Macaca mulatta: one gene and its partners. The protein of the gene in region 5 interacts with the protein of the main gene of each other region in a pairwise test. Links are inferred from orthologs where the notes say so. Each region holds a gene or a part of one and is shown on either strand. Other genes may lie near its edges.

The links.
Region 1: the proteins of EGFR (region 5) and ARRB1 interact in a protein complementation assay, tested with the Homo sapiens proteins (3 studies listed by BioGRID and IntAct, with this or other methods). The link is inferred for Macaca mulatta from reciprocal best matches to the Homo sapiens genes EGFR and ARRB1.
Region 2: the proteins of EGFR (region 5) and SLA2 interact in a protein complementation assay, tested with the Homo sapiens proteins (3 studies listed by BioGRID and IntAct, with this or other methods). The link is inferred for Macaca mulatta from reciprocal best matches to the Homo sapiens genes EGFR and SLA2.
Region 3: the proteins of EGFR (region 5) and CDH5 interact in a two-hybrid assay, tested with the Homo sapiens proteins (2 studies listed by BioGRID, with this or other methods). The link is inferred for Macaca mulatta from reciprocal best matches to the Homo sapiens genes EGFR and CDH5.
Region 4: the proteins of EGFR (region 5) and WASL interact in a protein complementation assay, tested with the Homo sapiens proteins (3 studies listed by BioGRID and IntAct, with this or other methods). The link is inferred for Macaca mulatta from reciprocal best matches to the Homo sapiens genes EGFR and WASL.
Region 6: the proteins of EGFR (region 5) and ANXA1 interact in binary tests that used the Homo sapiens proteins (3 or more experiments, as listed by UniProt). The link is inferred for Macaca mulatta from reciprocal best matches to the Homo sapiens genes EGFR and ANXA1.
Region 7: the proteins of EGFR (region 5) and SNX9 interact in a protein complementation assay, tested with the Homo sapiens proteins (3 studies listed by BioGRID and IntAct, with this or other methods). The link is inferred for Macaca mulatta from reciprocal best matches to the Homo sapiens genes EGFR and SNX9.

The regions. Positions count from the first base shown.
Region 1 is NC_133419.1:75,743,723-75,747,694, forward strand, and holds the start of ARRB1 (beta-arrestin-1), read right to left. Parts: upstream 2,801-3,972; 5' UTR 2,563-2,800; coding exon of another isoform or gene 2,543-2,562; exon of another isoform or gene 2,512-2,542; intron 1-2,511. UniProt on the Homo sapiens protein: Functions in regulating agonist-mediated G-protein coupled receptor (GPCR) signaling by mediating both receptor desensitization and resensitization processes.
Region 2 is NC_133415.1:89,470,549-89,473,888, reverse strand, and holds the end of SLA2 (src-like-adapter 2), read left to right. Parts: exon of another isoform or gene 1-60; intron 61-156; exon of another isoform or gene 157-665; coding exon 666-815; exon of another isoform or gene 816-1,594; coding exon 1,595-1,727; exon of another isoform or gene 1,728-1,743; intron 1,744-2,042; coding exon 2,043-2,163; 3' UTR 2,164-2,840; downstream 2,841-3,340. UniProt on the Homo sapiens protein: Adapter protein, which negatively regulates T-cell receptor (TCR) signaling. Inhibits T-cell antigen-receptor induced activation of nuclear factor of activated T-cells.
Region 3 is NC_133425.1:61,923,656-61,927,155, reverse strand, and holds part of CDH5 (cadherin-5), read right to left. Parts: intron 2,798-3,500; coding exon 2,673-2,797; intron 2,333-2,672; coding exon 2,227-2,332; intron 46-2,226; coding exon 1-45. UniProt on the Homo sapiens protein: Cadherins are calcium-dependent cell adhesion proteins. They preferentially interact with themselves in a homophilic manner in connecting cells; cadherins may thus contribute to the sorting of heterogeneous cell types.
Region 4 is NC_133408.1:163,488,482-163,491,981, forward strand, and holds part of WASL (actin nucleation-promoting factor WASL), read right to left. Parts: intron 3,222-3,500; coding exon 3,113-3,221; intron 1-3,112. UniProt on the Homo sapiens protein: Regulates actin polymerization by stimulating the actin-nucleating activity of the Arp2/3 complex. Involved in various processes, such as mitosis and cytokinesis, via its role in the regulation of actin polymerization.
Region 5 is NC_133408.1:73,282,415-73,285,914, forward strand, and holds part of EGFR (epidermal growth factor receptor), read right to left. Parts: intron 2,800-3,500; coding exon 2,632-2,799; intron 2,264-2,631; coding exon 2,216-2,263; intron 1,479-2,215; coding exon 1,370-1,478; intron 1-1,369. UniProt on the Homo sapiens protein: Receptor tyrosine kinase binding ligands of the EGF family and activating several signaling cascades to convert extracellular cues into appropriate cellular responses.
Region 6 is NC_133420.1:104,165,722-104,169,822, forward strand, and holds the start of ANXA1 (annexin A1), read left to right. Parts: upstream 1-1,301; 5' UTR 1,302-1,361; intron 1,362-4,101. UniProt on the Homo sapiens protein: Plays important roles in the innate immune response as effector of glucocorticoid-mediated responses and regulator of the inflammatory process. Has anti-inflammatory activity.
Region 7 is NC_133409.1:76,689,599-76,693,602, reverse strand, and holds the start of SNX9 (sorting nexin-9), read right to left. Parts: upstream 2,801-4,004; 5' UTR 2,589-2,800; coding exon 2,577-2,588; intron 1-2,576. UniProt on the Homo sapiens protein: Involved in endocytosis and intracellular vesicle trafficking, both during interphase and at the end of mitosis. Required for efficient progress through mitosis and cytokinesis. Required for normal formation of the cleavage furrow at the end of mitosis.

The DNA of each region.
Region 1 (3,972 bases), on a different chromosome or scaffold from region 5:
CCTCTAAGTCATAGATAAAGTAGAATCTCATGGCTTACGGAAAAAGACAAGGTACAGCCCATTACCGATTTTGCCCTTCTTTTCCAAATTACTTAGCAAACTGTCTGGAAAGGGACAGAAAGCCCTCATGGGGCTGCAGGAGAGTCTGAGGGGGAGGTCAGGGCCACTATCAGGTGGATTTAGCTGGGCCTTGGCTCCAGGCTTCAGGCAGTGCCTCTTCCCCTGCCCAGTGAAGTCAGTAAGTACAAGAGAAGCCTTAAAATGTTAAGTATTGATAGCTCCAGTTTACAGATGGGAAACTAAGGTCCGGAAAAGTAAAGGCAATTGCCCAGTGTCCCAACGGTCCAGCAGTGAGTTCAAGGCAGGGCAGGGGGAGTCATGGAAAATATCTTGGCCTCAGAGACAGGGTCTCCAACAGGTGCCTGGAAGCCCATGGTGTCCACATCTTCCTGACAATCATGTCAGCAGGACAGCAATGACACTTATCCCCCAAGTCACAGAGAGGTACAGAGAGACCCAAGAGAGGCTGAGTTACCCCAATCACAAGGCAGCCTAGGAAGGACAGGAGGAGTGGAGAATGGCTCCAACTCCCTGCTATACCCTGCAGGAAGAAAAGCCTGACCTCATGGGTCAAGATGGATGTGGCTGGGGAGGGAGTCACATACCTTCCTACTGAGGACAGAGGCCTAGGTCACAGTGCTGGCCAGCCAGCTGCAATGGGGACTAGCCATCAAGATGCATGCAGACACAGCATGATCTTCTGCTGTCTCCCCCAAAGCCTGGGCCTCCAGCACAGAGCAGGGCACCCCTCCCTGGCCCATGTGGGGCCTGGTAGTGCCCTAGGGCCATCCACAGAGACATGACCAAGTGGACTCCAGCCTCTGCCCTGCCTCTGGCCTCTTTTGACCTTAGGCAAATCACATGACCTCTCCAGCTCTCTGGTTCCTCTGCTAGAAAACAGGAAGAGGAAAATTAACCTCCTGGAAGAGCTGTCAGGAGGATGGCTGGAAAGTAATTTCTAAACATTAAGAGCCTAAGTTGCCTCTGAGCCTCAGTTTCCTCCTCTAGAAAATAGAAATAATCTCTGGAAGCCCTTTCTCACACTGTTGAGAGAGAGTCTCAGATGGCAGTACGTGAGAAATGGCTTTGTCAGTGGCCCTGAAAGGTGGTGCCCACTGGGGTGTGTCTCTCTAGTCTGTTAGCTCCTTCAGAGGAGTGGGCCTTGCGCATCTTTGATTACCCACACTATGCCTAGTATACAGCAAGAGCTTAATAATAAATGGAACCGAGGAGAGGAGAGGGGAGGAAAGGGAGGAGGCAGAAGTCAGGCACAAGAATAGGAGAGGAGAAAGACAGAAAACAATGAGAAAGAGGGGGAGCCCAGGAAGAGGCTGCTGTGCCCACTTGGGTGGGGAGGGCAACGGGGAAAATAGGGTGGCAATGCTGAGCCCTTGACCAGGGCTGGTCCTGTCTGAAGGGCTGGTCCTGTCTGAAGGGCTGCCCCCAGGGGCTGTCCTGCTCCAGCCCCCTCCTCCTTCTGTCCCACTTTCCCCTTTCAGAGGCATAGACCGTTTCTTTCTGAGTATTTCAGGCCAGGTTCTAGAACGGGAGGGGTTCTCCCAGCCCTAGGTTCAAAACAGCCCCTGGCCAGCCACTCCTCAGGAGGTCAGAGGGAAAGGGAACAGAGTAGATGGATGCGATCTATTCGGATGGGATGGGATCTGTTTTCCCCAGGCTGGGGGCAGTGGGGAGCGTTCTACCCCGTGTGATGTGTGTTTCCACTTCTGGCCATGTGGGGCCTGGAACGTGTGTGTCAGCGGGCCTCCGGCTAGCAGCTCGTGCCTGCGGGGTGCCAGTCTTTGCAAGCATTAGTCTGATTGTGTCTGTGGGGGTCAGTGTTGGTGTGGCCTTGCGCTCCACTGTGTTGGTGAGACATGCCAGCACAAGTGTGTGTGCTAGTGAGGGTGATGTGTGTACCAGCAAGAGTGTTTGCTACAGCGAGTGCAGGTGACAGTTTGCGTATCAGTGTATGCCCACACGTGTGTGCTAGCACGAGGGTGTGTTAGAATTGGTGTGTGTTGGAGTGTGAGCTGTTCATGCCAACAAGGCTGTAAGCAAGAATGTGTTGACCGAGGCGTGTATGACGGCGTGCCACTGTGTGTGATGAGCGTGTGCCAGTGGCTGCCAGTGTGTGCGCCAGCATGCCTGTGCCACGGGTTAGTGTGCCCGTGCGTGTATTGTGTGTCAACCTGCCCCCGCGCGTTTCTGCGGCTGCCGGCCAATGCTGGGTATCAGCAAGCTGTGAGTGTGTCCGGGCCAGGAGCCGCGGCCCACATGGGGCGGCCCGGCCCTCGCCCTTTGGGTCCCCCTCGCCCACGGCCCTGCCGGGGAGACCACGCAGGAGACCTCGGGTGGAGGAGGGCTGGTACTAGATCCCGGGATGGCCGCGAACACAGAACCAGGACGCAATCGGAGCCCCCGCCCGTGCCCTCGCCGAGGTCGCCCCCACACGCCCCACGCCGGGCGACCGCCCTGCACTCACCGGGTCCCTTTGTCGCCCATGGTCCGCGACGGCCGCAGGGAGGTCCGCGGCGTCAGCACCCAGGCTGGAAAATCCCCGGCCAGCAGGAGGAGCGCGGGCCAGCCCGCTCCCGGCTCCCTGCTCCGCCTTCTCCGCTCTCCCGGCCGCCGCCGCCCCCGCCCCCGCCCCCGCCCCCGCCCCCGCCCCCGGTCCCCGCCCGCCTCCCGCCGCGCCGAGCAGCGCAGCGCCCGGGCCGCGGTCAGGGGCGTGGAACCGCGCGGGGTGTGTGTGTGTGTGCGCGCGCTCGTGCGTCTGCGTGTGCGCGCGCCGCCCAGCGAGCCGGGGCAGCGCTGCAGGACGCGTCAAGGCCCCAAGGTCGGCGTTTGTGGTGGGGGAGGGGTCCACCCGCGTGCGAGTCCGTATGAGTGAGTGTGTGTGTGTTTGTATGGTGGTGGTGGTGTGGTGTACGTGAGGGCGCACGGCTGTGTGCGGGCCCTATTGGGAGTGTATTGGTGTGGATGGAGGAGTGTGCACGTCTTTGTGCAGTTGTGCGTGTGTGCGCACGGCCGTGGGTGCGAGCGCGCTCTCCCGCGCATGCCGGGGCAGCCTTTGTGTGTGCGTGTGGTTGGAAGCCGAGGGTCTGGCGACCCCGAGGCCGCGCTCTCTGCGGCCGCTCGCCTAGCTGGAGACCCCGGGATGCCTGGCAAGGCCTTCGCCCTGTGCTCCACCCTTCCCCATTCCACCCCACCCCACCCCCTTCTACTGGAGAGATAACACCCAGTCACCCAACAGAGACAGGAAGAAGGGGTGGAGGGGGCAGTAGACGGCCTTGACACTGGGGAACTGAGCGGAGACCCGCGACCAGCAAGGGCTGCAGGAAGCCGCCCAGGAAAGGGAAGCTGCGAGAAGTGAGAAGAGGCGATAAAGGAAGAGGGCAGAGCTGGCCCGCTGATGTGACCGGGTAGCACCGTGGAAAGTGCCCATGCCTAGCTCCATGGCCACCTGTAAAGTGAGGATACACTAATATCAGCCTGCAGAATTAATAGGTTGAAAGAACTTGCTTGTTTGCTGGCCTCCCCAAGTGCCTGCATACAGTAGGTGCCCAGTAGATGTTAGCCCACTTCTCTGCAGGCTTCTTGATGTCCTGTGAAATCTTGGCTGGGACGCTGCTTTGTCTGAGGTGCCTTCCTGCTTTGCAGGTAGTGGGAAATTGTAAGGTCTTTCCCACACCCTCACTGCTGAGATTTGGCTAACTATCCCTGAAAGGTCTAAGTATTAAGGGAGGAAGCTATCATTTACTCTGATGCTGTTGTGAGTGTGTAAACATCTCCTGTAATCATGCTCAGAAGCAGTTACCTATACTGTTTATATGCAGTATCATTACTATAATTATGTCCAGATTTGGCAGAGGGGCAGGGGAAGGCTGATGGGTAGGCAGGGTGGCCCACCTC
Region 2 (3,340 bases), on a different chromosome or scaffold from region 5:
TAGCCAGGATGGTCTCAATCTCCTGACCTTGTGATCCACCCGCCTCGGCCTCCCTAAGTGCTGGGATTACAGGCGTGAGCCACCACACCTGGCCCGTTTTTGACTTTTACAAACAGCCGGGCGCGGTGGCTCAAGCCTGTAATCCCAGCACTTTACAATGCTGCTGTGCATATTCTTGCCTGTGTGCTTCTGAGGTAATGTGCCTGGGTAGAACTGCTGGGTTGTAAGGTACGTGCATGTTCAGCTCATCTAGTTAATGCCAAACTATTTCCAAGGTGGCTTGTACTAATTTCTCTTCCACCAGCAGGGTGGGAGGTCCTACTTCTCCACTTCCTTGCCAGCATCTTCTTGACAGTGTTTTTGCATCCTAACACATCTGCCACCTGAGTCTTTGTAAGAACAGCCAACGCTGAATGTTCATTCACACGGTGCCAGACCCTGTACTGAGGGCTCTGTGTGTGATTTGATTTCACCCTCACAAGACCCCCATCTATTATGAACATGTTATTGATGACCGAGAGAGCAAGTCTTTGTCTTGCTTCTGCCCAAGACACTTCCCTTCTGCCGGGGCCCCATGGCCATGTTGCCTATCTTCGTTTCCCAACCTGGGTGGGGCTGAGTCCCAGCAGGGCCTCAGCGCCACCCCTGGACCCTTTTCTCCTCAGGCTCTTACTCCCTGTCAGTCCGTCTCAGCCGCCCTGCATCCTGGGACCGAATCAGACACTACAGGATCCAGCGCCTTGACAATGGCTGGCTGTACATCTCACCGCGCCTCACCTTCCCCTCACTCCAGGCCCTGGTGGACCATTACTCTGGTATGGCCTTTCCCTGCCCCCAGGAGTAGGCTGGGATAGTCTGCAGGGAGGAGCAGGCAGTGGTGTCTTCGGATATTTTACCTGCTATGGAGTATTCAGACAGACAGAAGAGAGGCCTCCCCTATTTTCACACCAGTCCCCATGCCAAGAAATGCAGGCTGGAAGCCTTGTCTTCACCTCGTGCCCTAGCAGAAAAGCCACATACCTCCTGTGTAGGCTCCGGTCAGTACCTTGCCTACCACCCTGGTTCTGATTCAAAGCCCCTGGCAGCAGGCGGAGTTCTCTCCACAGGAACCGGACCCAGAGCTGCTGCTGTGTGGGATTCAATCCTGACTCTCCTTAGTACTTCCTGATGCCGGTCCTTCAACAGACACTGGAAGATGCAGTCACTGGGCACAGCGTCAGGGCGCAGAGAGGGAAGAGCACTCTCAGAAAACTCAGGGGTTTTCTGCAGGTCACTCCATGCAGGAGTAGACAGTAGTAGTAGACTGAGCAGTCCTTAGCTTTCTTCTTCCCAAAGCAATTTCCTAACCAGAAACTTGAGCTCAAGAGGTCCATGAACTCACCCTAAATCATACAGTGATTGTCTCCCAAAAGTTAGCCCAGAAAGACCTTTGACTGCATCTGTCTCCATGAAACCAACAGCTTGGGGCTCATGTCCTGTCACTCTTTTGTAACCATGCCCCCTCCTGCCAAGTGTGGGGGGCTGTCAGGATGAGGGCTGTTGGAGAGAAGTAGGGTGGAGTCGGCCATGTCAGGGATGGAGGTCTCTTCCTCAGAGCTGGCGGATGACATCTGCTGCCTCCTCAAGGAGCCCTGTGTCCTGCAGAGGGCTGGCCCGCTCCCTAGCAAGGATATACCCCTACCTGTGACTGTACAGAGGACACCACTCAACTGGAAAGAGCTGGACAGGTAAAGTCGGGGACTCCTGGAAACATGAAAGCAAGACCAAGAGTTAGAAGGACCCACCCCTGGGAACCACAACCCGAATGTACCTGTCACACTCAGGGACACCTGGCAGCTGGAGCCAGGGCACACTGACTCAACTCCTGGAGCACAGCCCAGGCTCGGCAGGTGGGGCTGGGAAGCTGATCTGATAGGGAACAGGGGAGCCCCATGAGGTCCTCATCAGGAGTGAGGGGTTTTGAGAACAGTGCATTTTTGTGTGTAGTGAGTGCAGGGAGGAGGAATAGGCTCCTTGACCCAATTCTCTTCCTTTGTCCACAGCTCCCTCCTGTTTTCTGAAGTTCCCACAGGGGAGGAGTCTCTTCTCAGTGAGGGTCTCCGGGAGTCCCTCAGCTCCTACATCAGCCTGAATGAGGAGGCTGTCTCTTTGGATGATGCCTAGGCCCAAAAGAGAGGCCAAAAGGGAAACCAAGATTGCACACCTAGAACCCCAATTCAGCCCAGCCACCTGAGCACCCCAGAGGCAAGGCTGTGCACTCAGTGAGGGAGGGCTGGGACACAGAGGTGCATCCAAGGTCCCACCTGTACCCTTGCTCTTTCCTCTCTTGGCCCTAAGTCGTCACCTACCTCCTCCCAGTGCCATGACCCCACCTGCGACCTCTAGTCCAAATGCAGAGAAGTTGGGACCAGGGCCAGGGTTCCAAAAAGAAAGTAAGCCTCCTGCGGGTCTGACCTAGTCAGTTCTTGAGTTTGTTTCCAGTACCATCTGGATGCCCTGCCTGCTGAGCCCCGTTCTACATCCCCCGTTAACCAGGCCCCGCCCACAAGGTAGAAACAACCCCTAGCTTCTGTGAGAAAATCATTTTCGGGAAATTGACAAGTCTCGTTGAGACCACCACCGTACCTCAGAAGATAGGACTGTGGCCTAGAAGGGAAAGGAAAACTGAGGAGATGATGTCTTACCATAGCAGCAGATCATAGGTGCTCCAGCCTCTACATGATCTCCAGAGCAATGAGAAAGACTTCTGACAGTCTAAGTCCTCAAATGTCCCCCATTGAGGACAACAGCCCCAGCTCTTTTTTTCTGAAACGGAGTCTTGCTCTGTTGCCCAGGCTGGAGTGCAATGGCGCGATCTCAGCTCACTGCAACCTCCGTCTCCTGGATTCAAACAATTCTCCTGCCTCAGCCTCCAGAATAGCTGGGATTACAGGTGCATACCACCATGCCTGGCTAATTTTTTTGTATTTTTAATAGAGATGGGGTTTCACCATGTTGTCCAGGCTGGTTTCGAACTCCTGACCTCAGGTGATCCACCCGCCTCGGCCTCTCAAAGTGCTGGGATTACAGGTGTAAGCGACCGCACCCAGCCTAGCTTTCAGATCTCTATTTCATTTTGTGGCTTACCATTCCCTAGCACACTGGCCTTGCCATCTTGTGGCCAAATACAAAATAACACCTCTTAAGTCTAGCACACTGCAGTGAGGCCAGGCACCTCAGTGCTGGGCAGGGGCATCAGAAGGTGCTAAGCCCTCTCTCCACAATGCCAAGACTGAGGCCACAGCCTACACCAAATCCAGCGCTTAATTTCCCTGCTGCCCTCATAAAGAGAAAGAGGTCT
Region 3 (3,500 bases), on a different chromosome or scaffold from region 5:
CCCGGTCAAACTGCCCGTACTTGACTGTGATGTTGGCCGTGTTATCTGGAAACACCAAGGCCTCGGAGTCGGGCTTTGCCATCTGCACAGATGGGGAAACTTGGCTCCTCCAGGAAGCCTTCCCTGACTGCACCAGCCCGCGTGCTGCCTGGGCTGCTTTTCTGCCCTTTGCACCCAGCACCTCTTGTTTCAGCCATCTGAGTGCAGGCCTGTTCCTCCATAGAGGGGATATTTTGGGGCTGCTGCTTTGACCCAATCTCCGAGAATGCCTTGGTGAAAGAAGGTAAAATCCTTTGCTTTCTGTATTTGTGAGCAACTGATGCCTGTCCCCTTCCTCTTCTCTAACCCCACTCCAGTATCAGCAGGTTTTCTCTTTCAGCTCTATTAATGAGTGCACTGTTTCAAGCTTTGACAAGCAATGGGGAAAAATAAAGTTTTAAAAAGTCTTTTAGCATTAGGTTAACTTCTAAGGCAGCTTCAGCTATCTCTGAAAATCCATTGTTACATTGTTGAAAACAATGGGCATGTCCCTCGGGGCACAGAGAAAATGATTACATATAGAATTGTGGGTTTCCTCGGCAGTTTGGAACTGGGAAATGCTTTTGTCCAAATATTGGCCCCGCCCACCTTCCCAGATCCAATCAGTGATTTCCTGTACCCAAGAATCCCCCAGGGAGCTTTTAAAACACGCTGATTTTTCAGACCCCTATGATCACACACACATCTTATTCAGTGGTTCTGGGCAGAGGCCAGATAATCTGCCTTTTGCAGGGTCTCAGGAGGTTGTAATGTCAATGATCAGAGAAGGATCCAGGGACTCTCTGCTCCAGGATTTACATAGCTACACAGGCTCCACACACTGGATTGAAAAGCCCAGGAATCCATCTTTTAGATTTTGAATGAAAGCCAACTATATTTCATTATTCATAATTACATTTCAGCATTAAGTCTATTATATTTCAAATAAACTATATGTCATTGATGCTTATGGGAGAAACTAGAGATTTTGACATGCAGGTTGTTCATGATATAAGTGAATTTGACACCAGCAGGCTTGCCTCCTATTGTATATGGGTGTCTTTGGGGTGGCACTGAATCTTTCTACTGTATTGCAGATCCCTACTCTGAGATGGGACTGAGGTGGACATTGGGGAGGGAGTGACATTTTTGCCACATTATTTAATTCTAATGACAACTGGGTGTTGAATGGTCTGTCATTGACTTGTCAACACATCAGGGCCACCTTCTCCATCCCACAGGAGTCTCCTTAAGGACTGGTCTGTGGCTGATCCCTCAAGTCTGCCTCCAACTCTCAGGGACCCCACTCCCCAATCTTCCTCAAAGGTAGCAATGGGCTGCTGCAATACAGCCATCCTCATCCACCATAGTTTTGCCCATTAGGGACAGGCAATAATTCCATCCCATGCTGGGTGAAGGATCACTCTGCTTGAACCCAAGGGGAATTTTCTCTATTTTTCTGAGGAAATTTCAGAGGCCGTGGAAGCTTGCCTACTTGTGGCTGGAATGAAGTCAACTCAGCATCATCATTCAAGTCGGCACCTGCTCCTCAGAAGCTCCGATTGGCTGCTAATGACATCACACGGCCACCCTGCTAATCGTGAGTAGTCATTGTAGCTGAATTAAAACAAAGCTCACTGTATCCTTGGGATTTAGGACTTCATATTTCCAGTTTTGACTCTTTGGGAGTGACCTCAAAGTTCCATGTTTAATTTGCAGTTTTGCTGACACAGAGAGCCTCCAGTGTGGGAGAGGACTCCTTGGCTAGTTCTTCAACAGAGCTGACTGCCTGCATCCCCACATCTGTTCTGTACTCCTTGCTGGCTCCTTGCAGGCGATGTGGACTTGGGAGTTTGGATGGAGTGTCTCTGATCATTGCACAGACCAATTGTACAATGTACGTGGCAGGAATTGTACAAAATATCTAATGATTTGAAAATCCCAGTGGGAGCCTGCCCTCAATTTGCTGGCCTGGTCTTTGACCTTGGTGCCTCAAGACTCAACCTCACCCCGACCCTGTTAGTGCCAACTGACTGCATTTGTTCTTTTTTGGAGACGAGGTCTCGCTCCATTGCCCAGGCTGGAGTGCAGTGATATAATCATAGCTCACTGCAGCCTCAAACTCCTGAGCTCAAGTGGTCTTCCTGCCTCAGCCTTCTGAGTAGCTGGCACTACACGCATGTCTGAACTGATTACTTTGATGCCTACCGTGATTATCCGTGAGGGTAAAGTTGTTCTCAGTATTCAGGGTGAATTTGAACTTTACATTTCGTGGTGTTATGTCCTTGTCTATTGCGGAGATCTGCAGGACCAGCTGGGGTGTGGAAGACAGGAGATAGTCAGTGATGGTGGTGGGGTGGTCTGAGGTTTAGCGATGGAGCCCTTGGGTTTAGACCTGACCATGGCTGTTTCCCACCTGCAACACTCACCTATTTAGTTCTTCATAAAGCCACTCTTTCTACTCCCCTGCCCTGCCAATATACTCCCCATACATTCTCTCTGAGCCTCAGTTTCTCTACCTGTACAATGGGCATAATGTTATTTTCCTCAAGGCTATTGTACAGGGGAACTCTTGCTGACTCTGTTGAGCAGTTCTGCCCCTCAGCCTGCCCCAGGGTGGTGCTGCCTTCCCCTCCCACCTGAACCAGACTCACCTGGCCATGGGCAGCATTCTCACACACTTTGGGCTGGTAGGGCTGGGCAAACTCCGGGGCATTGTCATTCTCATCCAAAACTTCAATGTGGACTTGCACAATGGATTCTTTTCCTGTGGGGGTTCCTGCAGGGGAGAAGACTGTCACCATTATGGGCTCAGCTGATGCTGGCCCTGGGGGTGGAAGATGTGTGGAAGGAGGGCTGCCCTATGGAGGCCACTTTTTGTAGGAGGAGAATGTGGAACAGAGGCCCGGGATGGTGTTCCGGAAGAAAGGAGTTTGGTGGAGGGGGAGGTGTTAAATCTTCATCCATAAGGTTTACTGAGGTATTACTTTGATTATGAGAATCAAAAAGGTAAACCACCTAAGTGCATTAAAAATATTGTAATTAAATTTCTAAAATTAAAAATTTAATTATTTGATTAAATATCTAAAACATAATAAATTAATCATAAAAGAATTGAAAAGGTAAACAACCTAAGGAAGATTGGTCAGTAAATTAGGCCACTGGAAAAGAATGAAATATATGGCCACTGACAATGCCTATGTAAATTACATCTTAAAAATATAATTAAAAACATTTTAAGGCCAGGTGCTGTGACTCATCCCTGTAATTTCACACTTTGAGAGGCCCAGAAGGGAGGATTGCTTGAGGCCCAGAGTTGGAGACAAGCCTGGGAAACATGGTGAGACCCCATCTCTACAAAAAACTAAGACATTTCCTGGGTGAGGTGGTGCATGCCTGTAGTCCCAGCTACTCAGGAGGCTGAGTGGGAAGGATCATTTGAACTCAGGAATTAGAGACTGCAGTGAGCTGTGATTGTGCCA
Region 4 (3,500 bases), about 90 Mb from region 5:
TACATTTATATATCTATACATACAGGACCCATGAAGGCCAAGTATATAAAGTGAGACAGTAGCTGAGTAATGTACTTGGTAATGATAAAGAGCCAGTAAGACTGTGTGACATATGTGTGGGTTACATGTACAGAACACAGAACCATCTTTTTCTTCTATTTTTCTCCATATAAAATTGATTGTGTGAAGGTAGTATTTGAAGTAGTACTGGAGTTGTAGTATTAGAACTTGAATAACAGAAGCCTGAGAGAGGCAACGTTATTTTCTCTTAGCCCTAAACTAAGTTGTTACTTTTACAACAATAATAATTATTTATTTATTTAAGTCTGATGGTCAGCTCTAAATTGTTACAGAATTTATTTGGAAAGGAGTTCAACTGACTTCATGTTAATTTTTGTGTTTACTTTCTAGCAAGGGAAATAATTTGCTACTAGCTTATGCTAGACATGCTTCACAAAATTTATCTGGATGAAAAGCATCAAAGACACCCAACTATGCTGGCATTACAGAGTGACAAAAGACAGAAACTTATCAGTATCTATGGTGAAGAGGAAGATGTAGCCAATAATTCCATCATAAGGTACTACCACAGAAATACTAATGGTTAAAAGAAATGGGTCTGAAAATAAGTAAAAACCATCCTATATTTTCATTATATTAGCATGACTATTATATATTATTAAAAAAAAAAAACAAAACGTATTGTAGGGAAATAATTAGCAGAACTCACAGATACCAGCATAGAATAAATGCATTTTCAGAATCATGTATCTCACAGAAGCCTTACATTTCTTATGAATGAATGAAGACCTTTCTTTATCTCTTCCTAGCAAACAACCTCGAAACAAAAGCTTGAGATTTTTAATCTCATTCCTGTGACATTCTATGACATAAAAAATTCAGGCAGTTTACCTCATCTGTGAGGATTAGGGCTAAGAATTTAGGCAATTTTCACTGTTTTTAGAGTTTGCTAAAGAAGACTATACCATAGATATAACCTTAACTTTAAATACCATGTGTCTACGTATATCCTACTGACGTGTAATTTAACAATTCAGACCTCTCCTGTGACTTCCAGACTCATAACCAAATGCCTACTCCAGATCTATAGTTGAATTAACAGGTATCTCAAATTTAATATGTAAAACCAAACTCCTAATCTTCCCTTTCAAACTTTTTCTTCCTAAGTCTTTCCCCTTTCCAGTTGTTCAAGTCAAAAACCTTGGAGTTATCTTGCACTCTTATTTTTCTTCAACTTTCATTTTCAAACCATCAGCAAACCCAGTGATCTCCACATTCAAAATATAACTAATATTTAACCACTTCTCATTGGTGCTATAAACCTGGTTCAAGTCTCCATGATCTCTTGCTTGGATCATTACTATACCTCTGCTAAAAACCCTCCAATGGCTTCCCATCACATTCAGAATAAAAGCTAGTGTACTTCAAGGGGTCTCCAATGACTTCTTGTATTTCATTCCTTACTATTCTTTCCCTCCCTCTCTTGCAAGCTCCCTGATCTCCTCATTGTTTCTCAACCTAACAGACTTTATATTTTCTGTTCTTTCCATCGGATACACTTTCCCTAGTTTTCTACATGGTTCACTTCCTGAACTGCTGGTCTTTTCTTAAATGTCACCTCAGTTAGGCTTTATCGTCCCTTATCATTCTTTATCATTTCAAAATGAACCTCTCTCTCTCTCTCAACAGCCTGCTCCCTATTTCTCTTTTCTGTTAGACTTTTGTCCTTAGTTCATGTCACCATTTAACATACTATACATTTTTCTAGTTTGTTTACTGCTTGTCTCTCTCTCTCTCATTAGACCTAATGCATGTCGATGAAGGAAGGGACTTCTGTTGTTTTGTCAAAATTTTATTACTATTCCACAATAAATATTTATCTCTATCTCTGTAATGGAACAAATATGCCTATTTAAGGAAAATAAACATTGCTCAAGGATCTTAAGACATGCACATCCTTACAGAGAAACAAAAGGAAGATAACATTTATTGAGCACCTACCATGTGCTAGGCAATCTGCTGATTAGTGATATACTGTTTAATTCTCACATCTATATGCTTTGTGAATTCTCTGAATGTAACAAACAAGAAACTGAGGCTCAGAGATTAAATAAATCTAAGAAGAAGAAAGGTCTGTTTCTAGCACATTATGTTAGAGAAGCTATTTAGCAAACCTTAACCACTCCAATCAGCAAAACTCATATTCTTGTCCTTTCTTTAAAGCAATATTCATTTATATGGTGGTATGTATATGTTTAACAATAACCTCAGAATAGGTACTGGTTTATTCAAATCAACCTTTTAGAAAATGATAAAGGTTTAAAAAAGGTCAGTATTCTTTAGCAAACTCTAGAAACAGTAAAAATTACTTAAAATTCTTAGTCCTAATCCTCACAGATGAGGTAAATAGCCTGATTTATTATTATTTTTATTAATATTTAATTAATTTTTTTTTTTTGAGACGAAGTTTTGCTCTTGTTGCCCAGGCTGGAGTGCAATGGTGCGATCCTGGCTCATCGTGACCTCCACCTCCTGGGTTCAAGTGATTCTCCTGCCTCAGACTCCCGAGTAGCTGGAATTACAGGCATGTGCCACCACGCCGGCTAATTTTTTTGTATTTTTAGTAGAGACGGAATTTCTCCATGTTGGCTGGGCTGGTCTTGAACTCCCAACCTCAGGTGATCCACCCGTCTCGGCCTCCCAAACTGCTGGGATTACAGGCATGAGTCACTGCACCCAGCCCTGAATCTTTTATGTCACAGTAATAAGATCCAAAAAGCTCAAGCTTTGTTTAGAGGTTGTTTGCTAGGAAGTCTATCAGCATTTCCTGATATAGGAAACAAAACGGTCAATATTCCCAAAGCTGTTCTTTCAATTTATGGCTATGGCTGTGGTGGTGTTGCATTGGTAAGTCTCAGACTAGTCACAGAGGCAACAACTTTTTAAAATACACCCTAGAGCCCATATCAGTAGTTACTCAATTAGCAGAGAGAAAGCTAGCAAAGACAGTCATAAAATAAAAATAACAGAATGTCATTCAAATTTATTAAACACACACACACTCTGTCTCACTCTCTCTCTCTCTCTCTACCTGAAGAATGAATGGCTTTGCTCCTTTTCTGCATCACTTCCATTAATGCACCCACAATTCCTGAAGTGGGTGCAGGTGTTGGTGGTGTAGACTCTGGGCCATCAGACACCTTGGAAAAGAAAGTTAGCAAAACTCAGTAATAAATCTTTAGCAAAGAATCTTTGTCTCCAGAAAGTCCTACTTTCTTAGAATGACTTATTATCGTAAAAGACAAAAAAGATATTAAACTGGCAAGTCCAGGACAAGATTAATTAAATTAACAAGAAACAAACTGCTGCCTTAAAGATATTATTCAAAAATATTTCCTTTCCATCTTAATGTATAAGCCAACAATACATTTCTAAATCTATGTTTATATTCAGATAACAAACCCTCTCCTGAATAGTAC
Region 5 (3,500 bases):
TGCTGTTGCTGCAAAAGAAAGTGGGTTCTTTCCTGCACTTCTCAAAGTAATGGACACGTGTGTCTTTTGTAAATTTAAAGTTCTCAGAGGATAGCCTGCTTTGAGGACAGTGTGTGTGTGTGTGTGTGTGTGTGTGTGTGCATGCATGTGTACATGTATGTGTGGTGTGTATGTGGTATGTGTGTCTGGTGTGTGTATATGAGTGTGTATGTGTGCTGTGTGTGTGGTGTATGTTTGTATGTGTGTGGTATGTGCATGTGTGGTGTGTATGTGTGTGTATATGTGGTGTGTGTGTACATGTGTATGTATGGTGTGTGTGGTGTGTATGTGTCTTTGTGGGTATGTAAGTGTGGTATGTGTTTGTGTGTGGTGTGGGTGTGTGTGTACATATGTGTATGTGGTGTGTGTACGTGTGTGTCTATGGTGTGGGTAAGTGTACATGTGTGGTGTGTGTATGTGTGGTGTGTGTGGTGTGTATATGTATGTGTGTGGGGTTTTTGTGGTGTGTGGTATGTGTGTATGTATGTGTGGTGTGTGTGTGGTGTGGGTGTGTATGTGTGCACACATACATGTATGTGGTGTGTGTACATGTCTGTGGTGTATGTGTGTGGCGTGTGTACGTGTGTGTGGTGTGTATGTGTGGTGTGTGTGTGTGTATATATGTGTGTGTATACGTGTGTGTGGTGTCTGTGTGTATATGTGTGTGTATGTGTGTGGGGTTTTTGTGGTATGTGTGGTATATGTGTGGTGTAAGTGTGTATACATGTATGTGTGTGTGTGGTGTATGTGTGTGTATATGTGTGTGCATGTGTATGTGTCTGTGTATGGTGTGTGTGGTCTGTGTATGTGTGTGGTGTGTGTATATGTGTGTGTATGTGTATGTGTGTGTATATATGTGTGTGTGTTAGCAGGTTGTGAGTGTCTGGATAAAGCTTAAAATTTATTAATATTAACTAATATTTAATTAGTTAAATATATGTTTCACAGGTCAAGGATAGAGCCAGCAGAGAGAACAGGGATCAAATCTGTCACACACACACATACACATACACAGATGTACACACATCATGCACATACTCACACACACACGTATGTCTGTCGTTTGTTTCATAATCTGGAAATTTTGCAGATTCATTCTTAAAACAGAGGTACAGCAAACAACCCAGACACAACAAGGAGCTTGTGCAGGCTCCATCATGTGTTTATCTGCTCCTTACGCCCTTCACTGTGTCTGCAAATCTGCCACTGTTTCCCCCTCTGGAGATGCTGGAGGGAGCACCTGGCTTGGACACTGGGTGGTGGAGACTGGCTGCTGCTGAGTGGGTCAAGGAGGCTGAGGAGCAGGAATGTTTCCAGACAAGCCACTCACCAGGCACTGGGAGGAAGGTGTCGTCTATGCTGTCCTCAGTCAAGGCGCCTGTGGGGTCTGAGCTGTATCGCTGTAAGAAGCTGTCTTCCTTGATGGGACAGCTTTGCAGCTGCAGGAGGAAATGAGGGAAGGTTACTCCAGTCAGGGCTGCTCCAACTTCAGTGTGTGCAAAAATCACCTGAAATCTCCTTGAGATGCAGGTTCTGATTCGTAGGTCAGGCAGGCCTGAGAGTCTGCACCCTAGCGGGTGCCCGTGCTACTGGGCCGCAGGCTGCAGGGTGGGCAGCAGGGCTGTGCTGGGTGCTGTCCAGCAGAACTTTCTGCAGTGAGGGAGGTATGCTATGAGCGGTGCTCTTCAATACGGTTGCCACTAGGCACGTGTGGCTACTGGACACTTCATATGTGTGAGAAACTGAATTTTATATTTCATTTCATTTAAACTTACTAACATTTAAGTTGAAGTAGCCACATGTGGCTAGTGGTTTCTGCATGGCACAGTGTGGTCTAGACCAGAGCCTCACATTTCAACAGGCATCAGCATTACCTGGAAGGTGGCTCAAACAAAGACTACTGGGCGCCACCCCCAGAGGTCCTGATTTGGTCAATCTGGGGCGGTGGCCTGAAAAATGGCATTTCTAACAAGCTGCCAGGTGATGCTGCTACTGGTCCAGGAGCCACGCTTTGAATGGCACTGTGAGGCGTGACAGCCATGCAGGGGAAAAACCCACACAGGAAGAAAACTCAAGATTATCTGGGTTAAGATTATTTAGGTTAAGGCATTTTCCATGTATAATAGAGTCGTAGTGCAGAGCTGTAAATGCTGGCTTATAAGGTGTTCATACATACCCCATTTCTATCAATGCAAGCCACAGTGGAATTGTTGCTAGTTGCACTCTGAAAAAGAAACAGAGAAGTTGCCCATGGAATGCTTGTACCGCATCTCATCCACTTTTCCTGAATGCAAGTGGTGTGCCTCATGGAGGATATCGTGAAGGTGTTTAATTTTTGTCTTAATCATTAGTTTTAGAGCAACTATGTTTAGTTTTGATTTAATTCTGTTCCATAGTGGACCTAAAAGGCTTACAATCAAGTTGTTGCAATGCAATAAAGTAATACACTTATTTAATTTATTTTGATTTTACCATTTGGTTAAAATTGACTTCATCTCCATGTGAGTTTCACTAGATGGCTGTTATTTTCCCTAAAATTCATTCATTTTGTTCAATTTGAGAGACAGCTTGAGAGAGACAGAGGTTTCATACCAGAGAGCTCAGGAGGGGAGTCCGTGACGTGGAGGGGCTGCTGAAGAAGCCTTGCTGTGGGATGAGGTACTCGTCGGCATCCACCACGTCGTCCATGTCTTCTTCATCCATCAGGGCACGGTAGAAGTTGGAGTCTGTAGGGCTTGGCAAATGCATTCTTTCATCCCCCTGGTGCAGAGATTTTGAGGCTATTAGAATGGCCCGCAGAGATGCTATTCCACTTCTTGGCTATAGGAGCAGGGCTCTATTGCCAGCAGGTGCCTGTGTGTTTGCCAATTTTGTTATAATGAAATCCCCCTTAGTTCTCTGAATTATAGCTGCCTCCCTCATGGCATGTGGGTGCCTTAAAATAAAACATGAACCATCCTTTGATGCTTGAAAGCCCCTACATGGGATGCAAATAGCTTCTGAGGAAACAGGGAAGAAGCTGCAGCGTTCATCGAGTGTGCACCTTGCTGTGAGGTACTAGGGAGTGTATTTTGCAACATATCTTATTAAATCTTTGAGACCAATCCTGTGAGCCTGGTTTTGGTATTCCCATGTTATGGAAGGAGATAGGTGGATCGGCTGCCTGGGTGATGGGATGAAGTGGAGGGTCAGGGGTGTGAAGCCAGGTCTGCCTGACACTAAGGCCAACACACCATGCTTCTCTGTTAGACCCAGCTGAAGCTTTGGCTAGCTGGACAGTGAGGATGAGTGTGGGAGGAGAGTTCAGGCGGGGACGGGGAGATGGAGTTGGGTGGGCCCCACTCACGGACCCTGCTTAGTTCACGATGTGGCCTGCGCCTTAACTGAGGCTTGCTCTAATGCGCTGGGGGGTTTAATAATGCGATCTGGGACACAGGGAGGCCAGGTTGGCATGTGACAGA
Region 6 (4,101 bases), on a different chromosome or scaffold from region 5:
TTTTACCTGAGATATCTATGAGAAAAAGAGGAAAAGAACAAACCACCAAATGTAGCATAAATTGAGCCATAATGCTGTGAGAGTTTACACTTGTGCACTTTAATGGAAACATCATATATTATTTTGTTGGGTTTCACGAAGAATGAAAATGAGCCACTATGGAAGTTACCAGAACCAATTTTCCTTCCATCAGGTGGGAAATTTCTTATGGAATGTGTTCTGTAATAGTTGCTGATCCAATAATCTTTTCATTTCATAGGTCTAGTTCCTTGTTTTGTTGTTCAACTAGTTTCCATGTCAAAGATCTATGCGTATCAAAATTTATGCATAACTGATCTATATTACAATTTATATATACAGTTCTATGTAACTGACTCTATTTAAAAGAATTAATGTAGATAGGATTTTTAATGTCAATGCTTTCATTGAATGTCATAATGATCAAATTTTTGGCATTACCTTTGTTCAAAATTTTTAGCCAATCTGGAACTTTATTACTTCTATATTTCTTATAACAACAAGCTATATCTAGGAACAAAAGTCTTTTGTTTTTGAAGGCAAAAAAAATATAAATAGAAAGTCATTCGGCACTGTGTAATGTTAAAATTTACAAATATTATGTTATTTCTCCATTGTCACAAGAATTCTAGTGGATAGACAACTTAGATAATGCCCCTATATACAAAAGTAAAAACAGCTAGGCATGGTGGCTCACACCTGTAATTCCAACTCTTAGGGAGGCAGAGGCAGGAGGATAGCTTGAGCCCAGGAGTTTGAGACCTGCCTGGGCAATATAACAAGAACCCATTCTCCACTAAACGGGAGGGAAAAAAGACAACAAAACAAAAGTAAAAACAGGTTCAGGAAAATTAAATATGTCCCTAAAGTCACAGAATAATAAGTGGAGGTGGAATTCAAATGTAAAATTTTGTTTGTTTAGTTTTGAAGGTAACATACTTTTTTTAGTCTACAACCTATTTAACTACAAAAGTGTGCCAATCAGTGGTATTAGGATTGGGGCAGATGTATACTCTGAAAATAAAAGTGCAAAATAAATATACCATCTGGAAATAAAAGTGCAAAATACAGAGGGGGGAAAAAATCAGTCCTTCCATTTATTTTCCTTTGTAATGCCAGTCGAGTTGGTTTAGTGAGTAGTTTTGCAAGACTTGTTTCACTTTGTTTTTGGACATAGCTGAGCCACGTACTTCAAACAGAAGGCAGCCAATTACTAACTTCTGGTTGCTAGGTGTGGCTTCCTTTCAAATCCTATAAAATCAGGAGCCCAAGTCTCCACCGCTAGTGTGAAATCTTCAGAGAAGAATTTCCCCTTAGTTCTTTGCAAGAAGGTAGAGATAAAGGTAAGTCTTGGTTTTCCTTTTAGTTAGTTTTGGTTGTTTTGAAAACTTTTCTCATCACTATGTTAAATGTTACTGCTTCTACAGGATTTATGGTTAGTTGCATTTAACATGATAAGTCATTCACAAATCTTTCTGTAGAATTACATTGGATATTTATATTTTAGGAATCACAAATTACAATGTTTTTCTTCTTCTTAGTTAACAAATACAAGTAAAAATATGATAAGTTTGCTTAATACTGGCTCATTGTACTCTTGGTAAGCTACCATGAGAAAGAAGGAAAGAATGTGCTTTTCCTTTGGTAGCCTTTAAAGAATGTGTTTTTCCTTTTCTTCCCCTTGAAATATTTCTTCCCAAGAGCTGTGTGTGTTTTACGGAGAAATCATGATGGGGGCTGCTTTTTGGGGGCAAGAACAAAAGTGATAAGAGTGAGCTGCAGGGAACTGTTTCAAAATAGTAGGACTTTCATAATTTATTTTCCTCTTTTGTAAGGAAAACAAGATAGATCAGACCTCAAAGTGATAATCATGCCCTTTGTAATAAACATTTTTAAATATATGTTATGTTTGCTCGTGCTATTTAAATTAAAAATATATGTTATGTTTGCTCGTGCTATTTAAAATAAGAAGGTCCGCTTATTACTTGTTTCATTTAAAGAGGGTGTGGTCACATTCCTTTTCTTGGAGGCTCTGTGTCATATACAGGCTTTTCAAATGCTGGCTGGAAAACCTAAGAAGGGAAATACTTACTGGGTAGTGTCAGATACATTAGCCTAAGGGAATGTTAGTAAGGCCCTCTAACAGCTATTCCACTTGAGTGTTGCATGAGCTAATGGCCATAAAACTCCTTAGAAAAGCGCAAAGCAAAACTAAAGAAGAGTATTTACTGGTGTTGGATATATTTGTAAAAGTGAGATTACAAATCATGACCATATATCTGGGTATTTTTTCTTAAACATATTCCTTCAAAGATTTTTCTGTTTTTTCATTTTAAATGTTTATTAAATGTTCTGATTTCTTATGTTCACTGCTAGTTAATTAACAAGGATGAGATTTTTCCTGCCTCGATTATGTCTAAAAGATTGTATAAACTTTGAAAAAGCAATGTTACCCCCTTTCCACAGGAGTATTTTGGTAGCTGTGAGAGAGTGCACTTTGCAAATGACTCAAATGTGGTAAAATGTTGGTTTCATAATTCTGAAATGGCCTCTTCCCCAAAAGTGACATTACCACCCTAGCTCCAGGCTCAACCACATCTGGCACATAGTCAGCATTTAACAGATGTTGACAAAATACTTAAGAATAATATTATTAAGGAACCAACCAGAGTTTCAGGCTTATTAAATACTTTTTCAACCAAAATGTCTGCAAAGGTTGATTTCTGAAGATGACATTAGCTCTCTCTAGGCCTATTAATTTATGACATTTAAAATAAGAGCTAAACCAGTGGAATATTTTCAATGATAAACTATAAACAGTTTTTTGAAGTCAACTATTTCCTTTTCCTTTAAAGTTGGAGAGAATTTCATCAGGAAGCTCAGAACAGATCCAATTTACACAATACCCTCCTTCATTATGCTAGTTTTCTTCATCTTCATCCACTTGAAGTAAAATTTAAGATTGGCACTTCAGAGCTGTAAATGGATCTTAGATACTAATTACTTCAACATTTTTATTTTATAAACGAAGACCCTCTGGAGAAGCTAAATGTTTTTCTTGAGGTCAGATCGCCAGATAATCAAGAACTAGTACACTTCAATTTGTATTTTATATCCTATAGTTGTGGGGAGAAAATGTTTGTTAAATTAGTGTAGATATGTTTTTAAAAATATTAGCAATGATACATGATACTCATTCAATAATACTTATTAACATCCAGAATTCCAGGCATTTTGCTAGGTATTGGAAGTACATACATAATGAATATTATTATGTTAGCACGGGCCTCATGGCCTGCTCCTGGGGAATATAAATAAACCAATGGAAAGTGATAATACAGAATGGTGGGGCTGGTGTAGGGGTGAAGTCAGGATGCTATGGGAGAGCATGGAAGGTCACCTAATCCAAGACTGAGGAACGAATGAAGGGTTTCTGAAGAACATGATGAGGTCAATGCTGACGCCTCACTTAGGAGTAGCTATTAGTTAGGCAAAGAGAACTGAATGTGGAGAAGGAACAAGTATTCCAGGCAAGAAGAACACCCTATCGAAAAGCTCGGAAGCAAAACATTAGTGAGGCTACCTTTCATAAATTGCTTTTTGTAAATCATGCCATTGTGTAGTCTTAATTGCCTTCTCTCATCAGGAAAGGTGTGGGAAGGACTTGTGAAATATATATTCGAGGAAAAACTATGCACAAGGCATGCATTTAAAAATAAACTCTCTAAGGCTGGGTGAAACTTGCCATGGTCTGCACAAGTTGACTGTTAATGAATTTGATTCTCAGGTGTGAGTTATTAAAAAGAACACTGATCATGTCATTTTCTTTTTGGTCACTAATTTAAAAGAATAACATCCTTCCCTCCTTCCTTCCTTCCTTCCCTCCTTCCCTCCTCCCCTCCTCTCTCCTTCCTTCCTTCCTTCCTTCCTTCCTTCCTTCTTCCCTTCCCTTCCCTTCCCTTCCCTTCCCTCTTTCTTTCTTTCTTTCTTTCTTTCTTTCTTTCTTTCCTTCCTTCCTTCCTTCCTTCCTTCCTTCCTTCCTTCCTTCCTTCCTTCCTTCCTTCCTTCCTTCCTTCCTTCCTT
Region 7 (4,004 bases), on a different chromosome or scaffold from region 5:
GGGAAATGAACATCCCCTAAAATATCCAGATCCTGAATTTACTTTTCATCACTTAATACTTACAGCAACAGCCTGAGTGCCACTGGAGCCATTTATTAAAAATTAGTCATTACTACTAAGCACATTCTCCCCACCCCTTGAAGAAGACGAAGAAAAAAAACAGAACTACTCAGGTGTGGGGAAGGGGTGTGTATATGGGGCAAGTGAGGAAAGTAGCAACTTGTCTCTCTGGGGACAATTAAAAAATGAGACTTTGGTTTGACCCAAGTATCACCAGGATGTCAGAAAACTAAGGAAGGGTCTTCTTCTAACAACTGCTTCATTGCTCTTCTTTTTCTTAAAATGGAAATGGTCTGTCACAATGTAGACATGGAAATGAGCACCATGTGGAACAGTGATTAGACAGCGAAAGAAACTAACAGAATTACTGGAATTTGCCTTCGGAGTGGTGTAGATAACGAAGTAGGAAGTGCTTATGCATGTTTTAAGGCTCGTGTTTAAGCAAAGACACATGCAATTCAAGATTAATATACAAGAACCACTTTTCAATTTTTTGAAAAAAAAAATTAAGTTCAGGCTTAACTATGAAATAAAAATTTCACTACGTATACCTGCACTAGTTGCTAAACTGCATTCCACTTAAAGGACAGTACAGGTAACATGCCTCAGTAGACCAGAGTGTAAAAACACACAGACCACCACTGGACAGATCTCTATGTCATACACCGCCTTGGTTTTTTTTTTTTTTTTCAAACGGAGTCTCCTCGCTCTGTAGCCCAGGCCGGAGTGCAGCGACGCCATCTTGGCTCACTGCAACCTCCGCCTCCCGGGTTCAAGCGATTCTCCTGCCTCGGCCTCCCGGAGCAGCTGGGGCTACAGGCGCGCGCCACCACGCCCAGCTAATTTTTGTATTTTTAGTAGAGACGGAGTTTCACCATATTGGCCAGGCTGTATGGAGCTCCGACCTCAGGTGAACCGCCCACCGCGGCCTCCCAAAGTGCTGGAATTACAGGTGGGAGTGAGCCGCCGCGCCCAGCCTATAAACCGCTGTTAAGGTTGCAAGATGAGCGTGTACTAGGATGTGTAACTGGTAATTTCTGGAGTGTCTGGCAACAAACCTCAAAATCAAATTTCCTTAGAAATCCTTGGCCTAAGTTTTATTTTTAAAAAGGTCAACACAAAATTAATAAGTTCAAAAGGTGGCAAGTTCTATCACATTAATAAAACCAAAGCACAGCACAGGCAATAATATATTAACAAGAAGGTAATTATTTCAGTAACAGCAGCAACAGGTTCCCTGGAGGAGAATCCCCACTTCTCTATAAACGCTGCACCTAGATGGATTCAGAGCACAAAATTTACCACAGGACATCTAGCAGACCGAAGTCAAGCAACGCTGATCTTTTAAACAGATTTCACATTTCTTACCATTTCCTACCTTAACACTCCACCAAAAAAAGCAAATAGCTATCGAAATATAAAAAATAACGTTTCTAGCAACCCAAAAGTAGTCAGAGATCTCAAAAAAAAAAAAAAAAAATAGGGAAAGGGGTGCTGATGCTAATAAAGTGACACTACAAAAACTAAGTGCAAAAGTAAACCTACTCCTCACAGCGTATCACAGAACAGTTAATGGTTCAGGTACAGAGCCTCCTCCCCCAGGTCCTCCTTCCGCGACCATGACTCCCCAGTGACTATTTTACACCAAGTAACTACTGAAAACGCCCAAGGAAAAGGAGTGGGGGAGGGTGGCTTTTGAAGATTCAGGTAGCAAAGAGTGACTGCTAATTTCATAAACAATAATGCAAAACAAGCAAACCACCGCTCCTAGCCAATTACCAAGCAGGAGTCAAAGTTCCACCACGTAATTCGGGCCTGGGCCTTTTTTAGGCAAACACGTAATCGAAAGCACAGTCATTTCCCTCTTGATATTTTATTCATGCCGGCAATACCATTCACACTGAGCAGGTAGCAAAACAAAAGAAAAAAATAACAGCAGAGAAGGCAGAGGGGCGCGGGGTGTCCCAGCCTCTGTCTCTCCCCGGCCGCGAGCTCCCGCAGGCCGGGACGGGAAGCGCAGCGTCCTCTCTGCTGAGGTCTCGACCCCCACCCGCCCCACGGGGCCGAGGGTCCCCTGGGCGGCAGCGGGAGGGGACGTGGGGGCGGCGGGGACGCCAGACGCCGCGGGGACACCGGACGCCACAGAGAGCCTGTCGCCTCGGGGGCCTCCCCGGGCTGCGGGAAGTTTCCGTCCCGCTCTCGCGGCCCCTCCCGGCGAGCCCGCCGCAGCCCAAGCTCAGGTGCAAACTTCCCAAACGTCGCTGCACCCGGGGTCCCAACCCGCGCCCAGACCCGACGCCCTCCCCCGGCGCGATCCCGGCCGTCTGCACGGTCCGCCGCACCCATGCCCAGAAGGGACTGGCTGGGCCGCGGACCCGCCCGGGGACCCCACCGAGGACGCAGAGTGGCCCCTCGGCCGCCCCCGGCCCCAACCCTCCCCGCGGCCCCAGCCCCGACCGTCCCCGCGCCGCCGCGGGCCTGAGCGACCGGCCGGGCCTGCGCTGCGCGCCCCTCACCTTGGTGGCCATGGCGGGCGGGTCCCCCGGCCCGGGACGGCCGGCTTGTCTCCCGCGCCGCGGATGGTGATTCTGAGCCGCGCGGACGAAGGCAAGGGCGAGGGCGGCGGCTCCGGCTGGGCCCCGGCGCGGCGGCCGCTCCTCCGCCTCGGCCCCGAGTCTCGACGCTCAGGCCCAGCCGCTGGGCGCTCGGCTACTCCCGCGCCGCCCGCTCCTGCAGTTCCTGAAAGTCCCCGGCTGCGCGGCCCCCGCCCCTGCCGGCCGAGCCTCCCTTTTACCGCGGCGCGCGCGGCGCCCGGCGGAAGCGCGCCCTGGGCCCTCGGCCGCGGCCCGGCCTCCTCGCCTCCTGGCCGCCCCCGCGCTGCGCCGCGCCGCGCCGCCGCCCCGGGCAGTCGCTGCCGCCGCCGCCGGGCGCCCTGGGTCGAGGACGGGGGCTGCGTCCCGCGCGGCGGCGGGATCCGGACAGGCGCCCCGGGCCATGGCCCGCACCCTGCGTGGCCGCCCCACAGGAAGCGCTCCGCGGCCCGCACAGCCGCTCGGGGGAGCCGAACCCGACTCCGGTTCACGCTCGGCCAGCGCCGCACGCCGTGGCTCGGGGCTTTCCGTGCATGAGGCGGGCGGGGGGGCAGGAACTCTCGACGCTCCCGGCAGACAGGAGCCCCGCAACCCCGCTGTCTTTGCCCCACGCCGAGGGTGTTGCGGGGTCGCCGTGCCCTTGGCCGAGTACTTTGAGTGCCACGTAAACAGCCGGGAAGGAACGGAGCAATGGCTTCCTGGGCCTCTTTCTCCTGCCCGGAGGCTCCCTCAGGCTGGGGTCCTGGCTTGGAGCCCCTGGGACGGGACGGTGGGGGGTTCGTTTTGTGACGTCCCATTAACCTCATTCTGGAATCTTGATAAGTTTAAAAATGCCCGAGGGCCCAAGAGGTTTAGGGGACAACAGGCTCTCTGAAGTGGAAATGAGGGCTCTAAAATTTTCCATCTTTCTGTCAGTGTTTCTCTCCAGAGTTGGAGATATATATATGGGTGTTATGAATAAACGAATGACTTGAATTGAGCAGCAAGATTTTTCGCTCAAGGACAAAACACAACTGGAAGATGTATCATAATTGGCATATTAGTGGAGTGCTTTTTTATTATGAGGGATATATTTGTAAGAAGAGACAACTATCAAATCTTCAATACTCTGGTATTTAGAGTTAATGTCAAGTTTGTGTCTCCTTAAATACATTCTATTTGACCTGAGGTTTCACTAGTTACATTCAATAATGTGGTTTAAAATAGATACGGTATCGCAGAATTTTCTGTGAATTTTTGTGTTTGTTGAGCTCATGGTTAAGCTATAGTCGTCATAATATGCATAAATAGTTGTCTTTCTCCATAAAAAAAGATGGAGGCCAATATTCATTGACAGCCTGCTTGCTATATACT